Sus scrofa: one gene and its partners. The protein of the gene in region 1 binds, or shares a complex with, the protein of each later gene. Links are inferred from orthologs where the notes say so. Each region holds a gene or a part of one and is shown in the gene's direction. Other genes may lie near its edges. The genes, in order: MYO7B, CDHR2 and CDHR5.

The links.
Region 2: MYO7B (region 1) and CDHR2 share a complex: the UniProt entries of both Homo sapiens proteins name them as parts of the IMAC/intermicrovillar adhesion complex. The link is inferred for Sus scrofa from reciprocal best matches to the Homo sapiens genes MYO7B and CDHR2.
Region 3: MYO7B (region 1) and CDHR5 share a complex: the UniProt entries of both Homo sapiens proteins name them as parts of the IMAC/intermicrovillar adhesion complex. The link is inferred for Sus scrofa from reciprocal best matches to the Homo sapiens genes MYO7B and CDHR5.

What each region holds. Positions count from the first base shown.
Region 1 is NC_010457.5:59,716,003-59,719,588, reverse strand, and holds part of MYO7B (unconventional myosin-VIIb), read left to right. Parts: intron 1-832; coding exon 833-999; intron 1,000-1,978; coding exon 1,979-2,160; intron 2,161-2,988; coding exon 2,989-3,119; intron 3,120-3,342; coding exon 3,343-3,500; intron 3,501-3,586. UniProt on the Homo sapiens protein: Myosins are actin-based motor molecules with ATPase activity. Their highly divergent tails are presumed to bind to membranous compartments, which would be moved relative to actin filaments.
Region 2 is NC_010444.4:81,358,726-81,362,923, reverse strand, and holds the start of CDHR2 (cadherin-related family member 2), read left to right. Parts: upstream 1-1,325; 5' UTR 1,326-1,331; coding exon 1,332-1,433; intron 1,434-4,198. UniProt on the Homo sapiens protein: Intermicrovillar adhesion molecule that forms, via its extracellular domain, calcium-dependent heterophilic complexes with CDHR5 on adjacent microvilli. Thereby, controls the packing of microvilli at the apical membrane of epithelial cells.
Region 3 is NC_010444.4:375,919-379,769, reverse strand, and holds the end of CDHR5 (cadherin-related family member 5), read left to right. Parts: intron 1-140; coding exon 141-231; intron 232-390; coding exon 391-488; intron 489-593; coding exon 594-794; intron 795-881; coding exon 882-995; intron 996-1,071; coding exon 1,072-1,156; intron 1,157-1,241; coding exon 1,242-1,769; intron 1,770-2,299; coding exon 2,300-2,493; intron 2,494-2,775; coding exon 2,776-3,225; 3' UTR 3,226-3,321; downstream 3,322-3,851. UniProt on the Homo sapiens protein: Intermicrovillar adhesion molecule that forms, via its extracellular domain, calcium-dependent heterophilic complexes with CDHR2 on adjacent microvilli. Thereby, controls the packing of microvilli at the apical membrane of epithelial cells.

The sequences.
Region 1 (3,586 bases):
TGCCCTCTCAAGCTTCTCTTTAGACCCCAGCACCCCTGGAAAGAGGCATGTAACTTGCAGCCTTGGAGATGTACGTTCATGTACAGGCTCCTTCCCTTCTCATGGGCGGGAACTGCTCACAGGGAACCATCTGGAGAGGGAACAAGGGACGGGGCTATGCGTGTAGGGCACAGAGCAACCCTGTGCAGCCTTGCACCCTGGGTGGGGCCCTCCATGGTTCTCATCTACAGAGAAGTTCTCCATGCCCTTTGGGAAGGCCTGCCTGTGACATGCCAGAGCCCCCCTTGGTTAAAGCATACCCCAATGTGGCACGACCCCTGTGATCACATCAGAATGTACAGGGCACATGTAGCCACCTCTTACTGAGGCTGACCATGCTGGCCACTGTCCTCTATGCCAGTAAGGCCCACAGCTTCCCCCCCTGCCCTGAGTCTGCAGGTGAATACACTGAGGCATGCAAAGGCTCCACCAAGCTCACCCAGGCTGGTGCCCCATCTCAGCACCACCATTCTGGGCAGTGCCCCCATGGTGGCCCTGCACACTGGCCACCACATTGCCTGCCCAGAGCTGACCCCACAAGCCAGGGCTTGGCACTCCCACTGCCTTTAAAGTCCGTGGCACCCTGAGCTCTGGCTCACCTGCCTGCACACAGAGCAGGGCCCAGGGCTGAGGCAGACCCTCCCTCAGCCCCTGTCCCTGCCATGGCTCTGGACAAGCCTCTGGGTTTCCTCATCTGTAACTCAGGAGGGTCACCCGTCTGAGGCTGTCGAGGGGCTGACGCAGGGGGAGGGTGGAGGAGGACCCTGTTCATGCTGCACCCTCTTCCCCTCAGGGAGGCCCGAGGTGGGCAGAGGCTGGTGCTCTCCACACTGCACGAAGAGGAATACGAGTTCCAGTCCCCCAGCAGCGTGGCCATTGCTGAGCTGGTGGCCCTGTTTCTGGAGGGCTTGAAGGAGAGGTCCGTTTTCACCATGGCTCTGCAGGACAGGAAGGCCACAGGTGCCTGGCCAGGCGGGGAGGGGGCCTGGTGAAGGGTGGCTCATGGGCCAGTGGGAGGGCCGCTTGCTTGTGTGGAGTCCCAGTGCTCACATGGTAGGCAGGGCACATGGACTTGAGCAGAGAGAGCCCCAAATCCCTTGGGGGGGCAGCTGCAGGACTTCTGCAAAATGAGGGGATGCAGGGTGACCAAAGTGAAGTTCATAGAGGGCTGTGCTACTGCCAGAAGTGAAGGAAGGGCCAGCACCCTCCCTCTGCAGAGGGCAAACAGCCCAGGCCACCAGCCCGGGTCTTGCACACCATCCCCACAGCCACCCTGTTGTCCCAGTTTGCAGACAAAGCCTAGAGGCTCAGAGAAGGGATACAGCTTGGGGGTGGGGAGGGGGCGAGCCCTGGCAGACAATTTTTCAGCCACGGCTTCCCGGGTGCCCCTGGAAATCAGGCTCCAGAGGTAGGGGTTTGGGGATGGGGCTGAGCATAGGGTCTCAGCTGCAGTAAGGAGCAGAGTGTCAGCCCCACAGTGGCATCGCTGTTGCCCGTTCTAGCCTTACAACTGCCACGGAAGGGAGGGAGTGTTTTCTCCATTTTGCAGTGGAGGAAACAGACTCAGAGAGGTCCCCTAAACCCTGAGCAGGCGTGGTGACTGCCAGCTGGTATTATGCCCCCTCTGTCCATTCGCCTCCTGCCTCACAGGCCATGTCGTGGTCAGGCCTCTGAGCAGGTCTCCCAGCTCTGCCCACCCCAGGCTCTGTGCCTGTCCAGCCCCCTCCTGTGGCACCCAAGTGCCTGAGCTTGGGGAGTCCCAGCCCCACTCACACTCAGGGTAGCCTTGGGCCCACGGCTCTGCATCTCAGTCTCCCCACCCATCCCAAGAGACAGCCCCCAGAATGCCAGCTTGGCCTCTGGCCTCTGCTGAGCCCTTGGTAAGTGGCGGCTTCTCTGCCCCTGTGTGTGTATGTGTCTGTGTGACCCTGATTTGTAGATGACGTCACTTTCCTGCCCTTCAAGAAGGGGGACTTACTGATCCTGACAAAGAAGCAGGGGCTGCTGGCTTCTGAGGACTGGACCCTGGCCCAGAATGACAGGACAGGCAAGACGGGGCTGGTGCCCACAGCCTGCCTCTATGCCATCCCAACAGTCACCAAGCCCTCGGCACAGCTGCTGGTAACTCACATGCTCACCCGCCTTCAGCCAGGCACCATGGGCACCGGGGCAAGTGGCTGAGAAGCCTGGCCTGGGGTCCTAGCTCAGGGGCCTGGGCCCCACCTCACGGAGAGCCTGGGCATTACATCAGCTCTGCCAACCCCATCATCCCTCTGGGTCAACAGAGGGACCCAGATAGATGATGAGGCCTGGCACAGCACTTGGCACTTAATAGGTACACCATCAATGGACCTGCCTTTTATCCCTCTCACCAGGGAGTTCCCTGGGAATGACCCCATCCTTGCTTCAGCATCATTTAAATACTGATCTAAGGGGCCTCGAGTCTCTCTTCCCCTGACAACCATCCCAGCCCAGGCCCCAAGACCTGCCCTGCAGGGAGACACGACAGACAAGCAAGCCCTCCAACATGCATATATCAAGTGCCAGCTGTGTGTCCTGCGCCTGCAGCACAGGACAGAACACAGCAGTATCCCTGCCCTCAAAGAGCACTTGGATAAATGACAGCTTGATGTCAAGTGTGCCAAGTGCCACCGAGAAACAGCACTGTTGTTATGGGAGCAAATCAGAAGGTGGGCTTGCCCTGTCCAGGAAGGTGTCCCTGGGGGATTGACGTTTGTGCCCAGGCCTGAAGGAGATGGGGGTGCCAGGCTGGCAGGGCCAGGTAAGAGATGTCCCTGAGGAGAGGTGCCTGGTCCTGGGTCACACAGCAGGCAGCACATGTGGGGTGGCCCCCTCCCAGGTCTCTGAGGCAACCGGGTTTGGTGGAGCCCATGGGTGGGGCCTTGTGGGCGGGGCCTCTTGGACACCCACAGGCCCCTGCCCCTACAGAGCTTGCTCGCCATGTCACCTGAGAAGCGGAAGGTAGCAGCCCAGGAGGGGAGGTTGGCAGAGCCACCGCCAGAGGAGCAGCCTGAGGAGAAGCTGCACACCCTGGAGGAATTCTCCTACGAGTTTTTTAGGTACGCGCCCAGCCCACCTCCACGCCCCACCCCAACCAGTCCCTGGGTGCTCCATGGAGGCTGGGAGGCCATGAAGGCAGGTGCAGTGCCCACCTGGCCTTCTGGGGCAGGGAGGGAACCTGCACAGAGACCATCCCCAGAGCCCGGGGCCATCTCCCCACTGTGTGCACATGGCAGGCAATGGGGAGAGGACAGGCATAAGGAAGGCCTCCTTCCCTGATAGGGCCCCAGAGAAGGAGACACTCAGCAGAGCCATGCTCCCCATGGCCCGAACCCGGGGCCACCTGTGGGCCCACTCACCTGAGCCGCTGCGGCAGCCCCTGCTCAAGCGCGTCCATGCCAATGTTGAGCTGCGAGATGTCGCCTGTCAGATCTTCATCGATATCCTTTCCGTGCCAGCCCGCCCCAGCCCCATGCCCTGCCTGTCTGTGGGCACAGTCCCCTCAGCCGCCCGGGTCCCACAGAAC
Region 2 (4,198 bases), on another chromosome or scaffold:
ACCCTCTCTGAACCCTATGATCCCTCTTTGTAGCGTGGGCATGATCACAACGGTACCTGCCTTTCCTGGGTGATGTCAGGCATTAGAGAGACCACAGCTAAAAGCAAACAGTAGGTGCTCAATAAATGCTGGTTCCTTGGGAGCTCCTGTTGTGGCTCAATGGGTTAAAAACCTGACTAGTATCCATGAGGATGTGTTTTTTGTTTGTTTGTTTTTTGTCTTTTTTGCCATTTCTTGGGCCGCTCCTGTGGCATATGGAGGTTCCCAGGCTAGGGGTCGAATCAGAGCTGTAGCCGCCGGCCTACGCCAGAGCCACAGCAACGTAGGATCCGAGCCGCGTCTGCAACCTACGCCACAGCTCACGGCAACGCTGGAACCCTGACCCACTGAGCAAGGGCAGGGATCAAACCCGCAACCTCATGGTTCCTAGTCAGATTCGTTAACCACTGCGCCACGACGGGAACTCCCGAGGATGTGTTTTTGATCCCTGGCCTCCCTCGGTGGGTTAAGGATCTGGCGTTGCCGTGAGCTGCAGTGTAGGTCACAGATATGGCTCAGATCTGGTGTTGCTGTGGCTGTGGTGGAGGCCGGCAGCCACAGCTCCAATTTGATTGACCCCTAGCCCAAGTACTTCCATACGGCATGAGTGGGGCCCTAAAAAGCTAAAAAAAAAAAAAAAAAAAAAAAAAAAGCTGATTCCACTCCTCTCAGGAGGTACAAGGACATCCTCCCCCAGGATTTCCCTGGACCTGCCAGTGCATCTGCATCTCGTGATCTCTTTTTGCTGCTCCAGGCCTCACCCAGTGTCCATCTTGGGCTGGGTGTCTCCCTGTCTACCCTAGTGGGTCCCTGGTTAGGGAGGACCCAGCGCCCCATGGTCCAGATGCAGGCAGCATGGCCAACCTGGAGGTGGATGAGCCCGGGGGAGGGTAGAGACCCTCTGAGGGCTTTACTCCTCTGTGAAGACCTCATGTTTGAGGGTTACCCTATTTTTCTAGTTCCCTCCCTCACCTGTTTCCTTTTGTACCTGCCTCACAGGTCCTCTTCCATTGAGGAATCTTATAGCAGGGAGAGGATGGAGGGCCCAGATGTTGCCCTCCTGGCCTCCTGCCCGCCGCAGGGCTGGGCCTGATTCCCACGTCCCCAGGGCCCAGCTTGGCCAGGCCCTGATGCCTGTGGTCTAGGTCTCCAGACCTGGAAGCCTGGGGCTGTGGCGTTGGTCTGGCCCTCCTACCTGCTCCCCAGCTGTGGCCAGGGCCTCCTGAGGAGTTGTTCCCATCCTGGGAGGTGTGGTCTCTGTCACGGTTAATGATTGCTCAGGGGAGGCGGAGATGGTGCCAAAGTCTGCTGGCCGCACCACCGCCAGCCCAGACAGTGCCCACCTGTGCTGGCGGCGCCCATCCTCTGCCTCCGGGACCCCTTCTGGGGCGCAGGTAGGGATGGCACAGTTCTTCTGCAGCAGGGGCGGGGGTCTCTTGGCCAGGAATCGGGACCCAGTGGGGTCACTGGGGCCAAGGCGAGCTTTAGCAGGCGGAAGGGAGGGCCGTCCCTCGCCAGTTGGGTGGAAGCGCTGGATGGAGGGAGCGAGCACTGGGGCTGGGCTGGGAGGACCTGGAGTGAGTCCCAGACTGGCCTAAAGGCCTCAGTTTCCTCTGTGGTGTGAGGCTAATGATACCCATTCCCAAGTTTCCCAAGGCTTCTCTTCTAAGGCTTTGGGCAGTTTGGACCCACCACGAATTCTTCCCGGAATAGCAGGGAGGCAGGTCCCCTGGAGAAATGAGCTTACCTGCCTTGGCTCCTTTCACAGGAAGCCTGAGGGGGTGACGACAGGTTGGCTGAGCCTGGGGGCCCCAGAGCTCAAGGAGAAAGGACTGTGCTCCAGTTCCAACTGCTTGAGTTCAGACCCCAGCTCTATCCTGGCTTTGGGTGGGCTCCATCACTCTTTCAGGCCTCAGTTTCCTCATCTGGAGAATGGGGATGATTGACAGGACAGGAAAGACGCTGGAGCGCCCTGAAGCAGTTGGGCCTGTGGTCAGCGATGGAGTCCAGTGCCTCCTCGGGCAGCACTAGGAAATTTCCAGCTGGGACTCACCCCAGGCTAGCCCCCAGCTCTGGCACATTCTCCGGCTCCGACATGTCTCTGCCTTGGGGTACCAAGTGGAAAATCGGCTGAGAGCTGGGCCAGGCCTGGGCCTCTTCCTGAGGCAGATACTGCTGGGTTGGGGCACTAGATACAAAACAGAGGCCCAGGGAACACTGATAGAAACAGGTCATGACCAGTGTGTGACTCTTATCTGCACCCTGTTTCCCAGCCGGGAAACTGAGGCCCAGAGAAGGTAAGGGCTTGCCTGGGTGGCACAGCAAGTAAGTAAAATGCTGCAATTTGAACCCAGGACCATTTGATTCAGGATCTGCCTGCCAGGGAAGCAGCCTGGGGCTGGGGCTGGAGGGGCCCCTAGGCCCTGGTGGAGTCAAGTAGAACCCAGACCAGGGCTTGCCCAGGGGCTCTGGGCTTGGGAGCCAGTCTGGGTCTAACGCTCTGCCCTTTTCTCTGGGGCATCCCTTTCTGAGCCTCGGTTTCCTCACCTGGACTCTAGAATGATCATTCCTACAGCTGGGAAACAACTGTGAGAAGTAAACAAGAAAGCGGAAGTGAGAGTCTGGCCATTTGGAGATGGTGGTGATAGCTGGTGGCTGAGCCTGCCCGTGGGGTTCCTGTGGGTGAGGAGGGCTGCCTGGGCTGGCTTGAGGTCCCCATTCCTGGTCCCTCCATTCCCGGTCCCTCCAAATTCTAGAAAGTTTTGGAGCTGTGGGCTGTGGCTGCTGTAGGGGGTGAGGTACACCTCTTCCCAACTGTCAAGACTCCCAAGGGCCTGCGTGTCCCATGGGGTGGGGGCTGGAGCCCCTCTAATCTAATTCATCTCAGCATCCTTTTTGACCCTTCCCCAAGCACTTTTTGAGGGTAGGGAAAGGGAGGGAGCTTGGAAAGGGGGATTGGGGGAAAAGAAACTAATTTCTAGAATGTAGATAGATTGTCCCATTTTTCAGAAGGCAAACTGAGAGGCAGCGAGGAAGAAGGAAGAGCTGCAGGATTCAGCCATGTGGTGACTGGGGGATGCTGGAGAAGGCCATGTCTCCTTCACTCCCAGGCCTCCCCAGTCCAGCCCATGGGAACTCCAGGTTCACTTCCTGTTCACTGGTGCTTGCCCTGTCCCCTGCCCCTGCTGGGGTGCCGGGAGCTTAGGAGCTGGAGGAGGGGCCACCAACATGTGAACTTGGCTCCACACCTGACCTGGCCTTGGAGGGTAGAGAGAATTTGCATGTATACAGGAGACTGGGGAAGGTGCTCTGGACAGAGGGGCGGGCATATGCAAATGTATGGAGGCAGGAAAACAGGGTGTGCCCTGAGGCCATGGGGGGAAGAAAGGCTTGGGTGGGAAGAGACCCAGCACCTGGGAGGCCCTGGCTGGCCAGGTGGAGAGATGGAATGTATGTTCCACAGCCAGCGGAAGCCATGGCAGAGGTTTGAGCCAGGGAGTGGCTGAGCCTGGTGACGTGGGAGGGCTCCCTGGTGGGGCAGGTTCAGCCTGTGCCTTCGCCACCTCACATGGGCTCTGTGCGTTTTTCTCAGATGACGGAAGCCAGAGGATGACACTCTGGACTGTAGAACTTTGGCCTTATTATGATCAAATGAGTGTGTGTTTATAAAAGTCTCCATGACAAGGAGGCAAGATTGCATGAAACCCAGGCCGAGGGAAGAGTTCTTTACAGGGAGGTGGACGGGTGGCGTCCCGGCTCTGCCCCGTCTGGTGTGGGCTGTTGGGCAAGGCCCTGAGCATCCCTGGGACTCAAGTCTAAAGGGATTGACAGCTCTCTCTTCCTTCCCTGGGGGATGGTGAGGGCCCGAGGCAGGAGACAGACTGTTTGTGCCTTGTACAAAACATAAAAGTCATCATGCTGGAGATCCCACTGTGGCTCAGCAGCTTATGAAATCGAATAGTATCTGTAAGATGCGGGTTTGATCCCTGGCTCTGCTCAGTGGGTTAAGGCTCCAGTGTTACCATGAACTGTGGTGTAGGTTGCAGCCACGGGTCAGACCTGGCATTGCTGTGGCCATGGTGTAGGCCAGCAGCTGTAGCTCCTATTCAACCCCTAGCCTGGGAACTTCTGTATGCTGCAGGTGCAGCCCTGTAAAAAT
Region 3 (3,851 bases), on another chromosome or scaffold:
GGAGCACTGGATAATTGTGCTGATTGGAGCGTGTGCCTGGCTGCCCTTCGGAGGGCGACGCCAGCCCTCCTTGAGGGGAGGAGGGCTGAGGCAAGGCCAGGGCACCGGCTCCACGGCACCCTCCCTCCCTGTTCCTGCAGCCAGGCCCCCTCACCCTGCGACCGGGGCCCATCTACGCCGTGGACGGAGACCGGGGCATCGACGAGCGTATCATCTACAGCATGGTCACGGGTGAGGGCGCACCAGCTCCCGGCTTCCCTCCCCACACCGCGCCCCACTCCCACCTTGCGCTGAGGAACCCCGGGGGGGGCGGGGGGGGCTGCCACCTGGGACCACGGGACCTCAGGCCTCCGGCGGCGACCGCACCAAACCCTCCCGCCCGCCCCCCAGGACATGAGGACGGCACGTTCTCCATCGGTGCCGACTCGGGCAACCTCACCATGGCCAAGAGCATCCCCAGCCCCCAGACCTTCGTTCTGATGGTCAAGGTGGGTGCCCGCACAGGGCCAGGTCTCCAGGCCCTTCCTGGGCCCCAGGCTGCTGGGCTCACCCTCCAAGGACCCAGTGGTCACGGCCGCCTCTGCAACCCCCAGGGGGAGCAGGCGGACGGCGCTCGCTACTCGGTGACCCAGGTCACGGTGGAGGCCCTGGACGCCAACGGGAGCCTGCCCCGCTTCCCGGAGAGCCTGTACCGCGGCACCGTGGCGCTGGGCTCCGGGCCGGGCGTGGCAGTCCAGGATGCAGCCGCCCCGCCCCAGCCTCTGAGGATCCGGGCCCAGGACCCTGAGTTCCCCGTAGGCACTGCCCGGGCCTCCCTTGGGGGTGGGTTGGAGGGGCCTGAGGGAGCAGCCTGGGCCCCGGACTCACTGGACCCTGTCCAGGACCTCAACTCGGCCATCACGTACCGAATCACCAACAATTCCAACTTCCGAATGGACGGGGAGGCCGTGCTGACCAGCGCCCTGCTGATGCAGGCTGGGGTCTTCTACGCAGAGGTGAGGGCCGGGCAGCATCTCCAAGGGGCGGGGGTTAAGTCGGAGCCCAGGAGGGACGAGCCCCCTTCCCGCCCAGGTGGAGGCCACGAACACGGTGACCTCAGGCACAGCGACCACGGTCCTGGAGGTTCAAGTCTCGGAACAGGAGCCCAGCCCCACAGGTGAGCCTCCCAGGGACCCCAGGTGGGCTCGGGCAGGGCTTCTTGCCAAGGGCAGTGGCAAGCCCAAGCCTGTCCCTGGCCCCAGGCCCCTCAGGCCCCCCCACACCCCCAGAGACTGCAGGAACGACCAGACCCTCGAGCAGCACCACTGCGGAAGCTCCCCGGCCCCCTGAGCCCTCGCAGGGGTCCTCCACGACCAGCTCTGGGGGGGGCACTGGCCCACGCCCCTCCCTGGGAACAACTCTGAGGCCACCTGCCACCTCCGTGCCTGAGGGGCCCCCCAGTACGGGAACCAGCCCCCCTCCCCCATCAGCCTCACCCAGTGGGGGCTCAGCGACCAGACCCTCGAGCAGCACCACTGCGGAAGCCCCCCAGTCCCCTGAGCCCTCGCAGGGGTCCTCCACGACCAGCTCTGGGGGGGACACTGGCCCGCACCCCTCTCCAGGCACAACTCTGAGGCCACCTACCTCCTCCATGCCTGGGGGGCCCCCCGGTATGGGAACCAGCCCCTCCCCCCCATCAGCCTCACCCGGCGGGAGCTCAGCACAGACCTCAAAGCCAGGAACCTCTCTGCCGACATCCCCTGGGTCCAGCAGGAACCCCTGGTCCTCAGGTAGCACCCCACTTACCCTAGAGTCACCCTCATGCTCTCTGACTCATGACTCTGGGTGGTCACTGTAAGGCAGGGTCCACCCCAGGTCAGCCCATCATGACCGTGCTGACCACAAATCCCCAGGGGAGTCCGCTCTGGTCGCGGGGAGAGACGGGTCTCGGGGGGCCCAGGAGGGAACCTGGGGAAGGTGTGTGGAGGGTGGGGCAGAGGCTGGACTTGAGACCCAGTGAAGTCCCCAGTTCCCTGGGCCATTCACTCCACTGGCCCCATGTGGCCCTTAGCCCCCTTCCTGTGACCTTGGAGCCCCTCCCTCCCACCTGGAACCAGTGGGCACTGATCCCTCTCCCCTCCCGCCCAGCAGCCTGGCCTATCGGGGCCCCCTGGGAACACACAGCTCCTTAGTGGGGGTCAGTGGTGCCCACTCCCCAAGCTCTGGTGGTGGCCAGGCCTGGCTTGCTCTCAGGTGCCTGGCGCTTGCCACAGGTTGGCATGAGCGTGTGACAGTAAGCGGGTGGTGGTATTGCCGGCAGGGACGCCGGTGAACGAAGAAAGCAGCACTGCAGCGAAGCCAATCTCAAACGGGGACAGGCGCTTCTCGACTGTGGAGATGGCGGTGCTAGGCGGGGTGCTGGGCGCGCTGCTCCTTCTGGCTCTGATCGCCCTCACGGTCCTTGTCCACAAGCACTATGGCCACCGACTCAAGTGCTGCTCCGGCAAAGCTCTGGTGAGGCCCTGGGGGTGGGGACAGGACAGGGCTAGAGAGAGCAGAGGGCCGTGGAGGGCATGGGGGACCGAGAGGGAGGCAGCGCGACCAGGGGTCGGTGGAGCAGATGGAAACCGGGTGAAGGTGATGGGGCGCAGACACCATGGCCCAAACAGTGGGGGGGGAGCAGAGAGAGGCAGAGAGCGGAGGGAGGGACGAGGGACCGCCTCGGGGGACGGCCGGGCTGGTCTGAGCCCGCTGGGCTCTGGCTGATGGCTGCCTCCCACCCGCCCCTGCCCCCAGGAGCCCCAGCCCCAAGGCTTTGACAACAAGGCTTTCCTCACCAAAGATGAGGCCAACTGGGAGCCCGCCCCTAGTCCCCCACCCAGCCCTGCCCCGCCAGCACCCCCAAAGCCCGCACCCCCAGATGCTGAGCCCCAAGAGCCTTCGCCCCACAGCCCCGCGCCCTCTCACCGTGTCCCTGAGTCCCCTGCGGTAGCCCCGGATGGGGGCAGCCCGGCAGCCGTGAGGTCCATCCTGACCAAGGAGCGGCGGCCTGAGGGCGGCTACAAGGCTGTGTGGTTCGGGGAGGACATTGGGGCTGAGGCCGACGTGGTGGTCCTCAACACGCCAGGCTCGGAGGTGGATGGCGCCGGCGACTCGGGCAGCGAGGGCGGTGGCGACGAGGGTGCAGACGCGGGCCCGGGCGGCCGTGGCCAGGACGCCCCGGGCACTGACTCCATCTACTTCTAGCGCTGCTTCCCCGCGGCCCCAGCGAGTCCGGACGCCGACAATCGGCTCGGCCCCTCTCCCCAACTCCATTGCCCAGAATAAAGTGACATTGTGGGATCTGCGGGCCTACGTGGGGTCTGCCCAGGGGGCTGCGGGTGGCGGGTGGTGGGGACGTGGCCCCTCTGCCCCTGCCCCGCGGGAGTCCTCCTGGTGGCCCGAGGGGCAGAGAGGGTTGGGCAGGCTCACGCCCTGTGCAGAACCCTGGGCACCATTTCCCGTAAACCACCTGCTGTGCTCGTGGGGCTTCCCAGGCTTGGTGCCAGCTGGTGGCCAGAAAGTTCCTCTCCTGGTCTAACCACGGCCCTGGGGGGGGGGGGGGCGTGCGCTGGGATCTCCCTCCCAACCGACCCAGCATGGAGATTCTTGGCCTGGGGGAGGCTGAGGAGCCAGGAGCTGTTCCCAGGAGCACTCATCTAGGGGAGCACGGTCCTGGGGACCTTCCAGGGGTCACACCTCGGGCTCCTGTGGCCACAGTGTGGGCAATAAACACCCTGGGGTGCCCTCAGGGACACCTGGTCCAGGTGGCTGGACTGCAACCAGAGATAGGGCCATGGGTGGCCCAGAGCGACAGTAGCCTGCAGGCCATC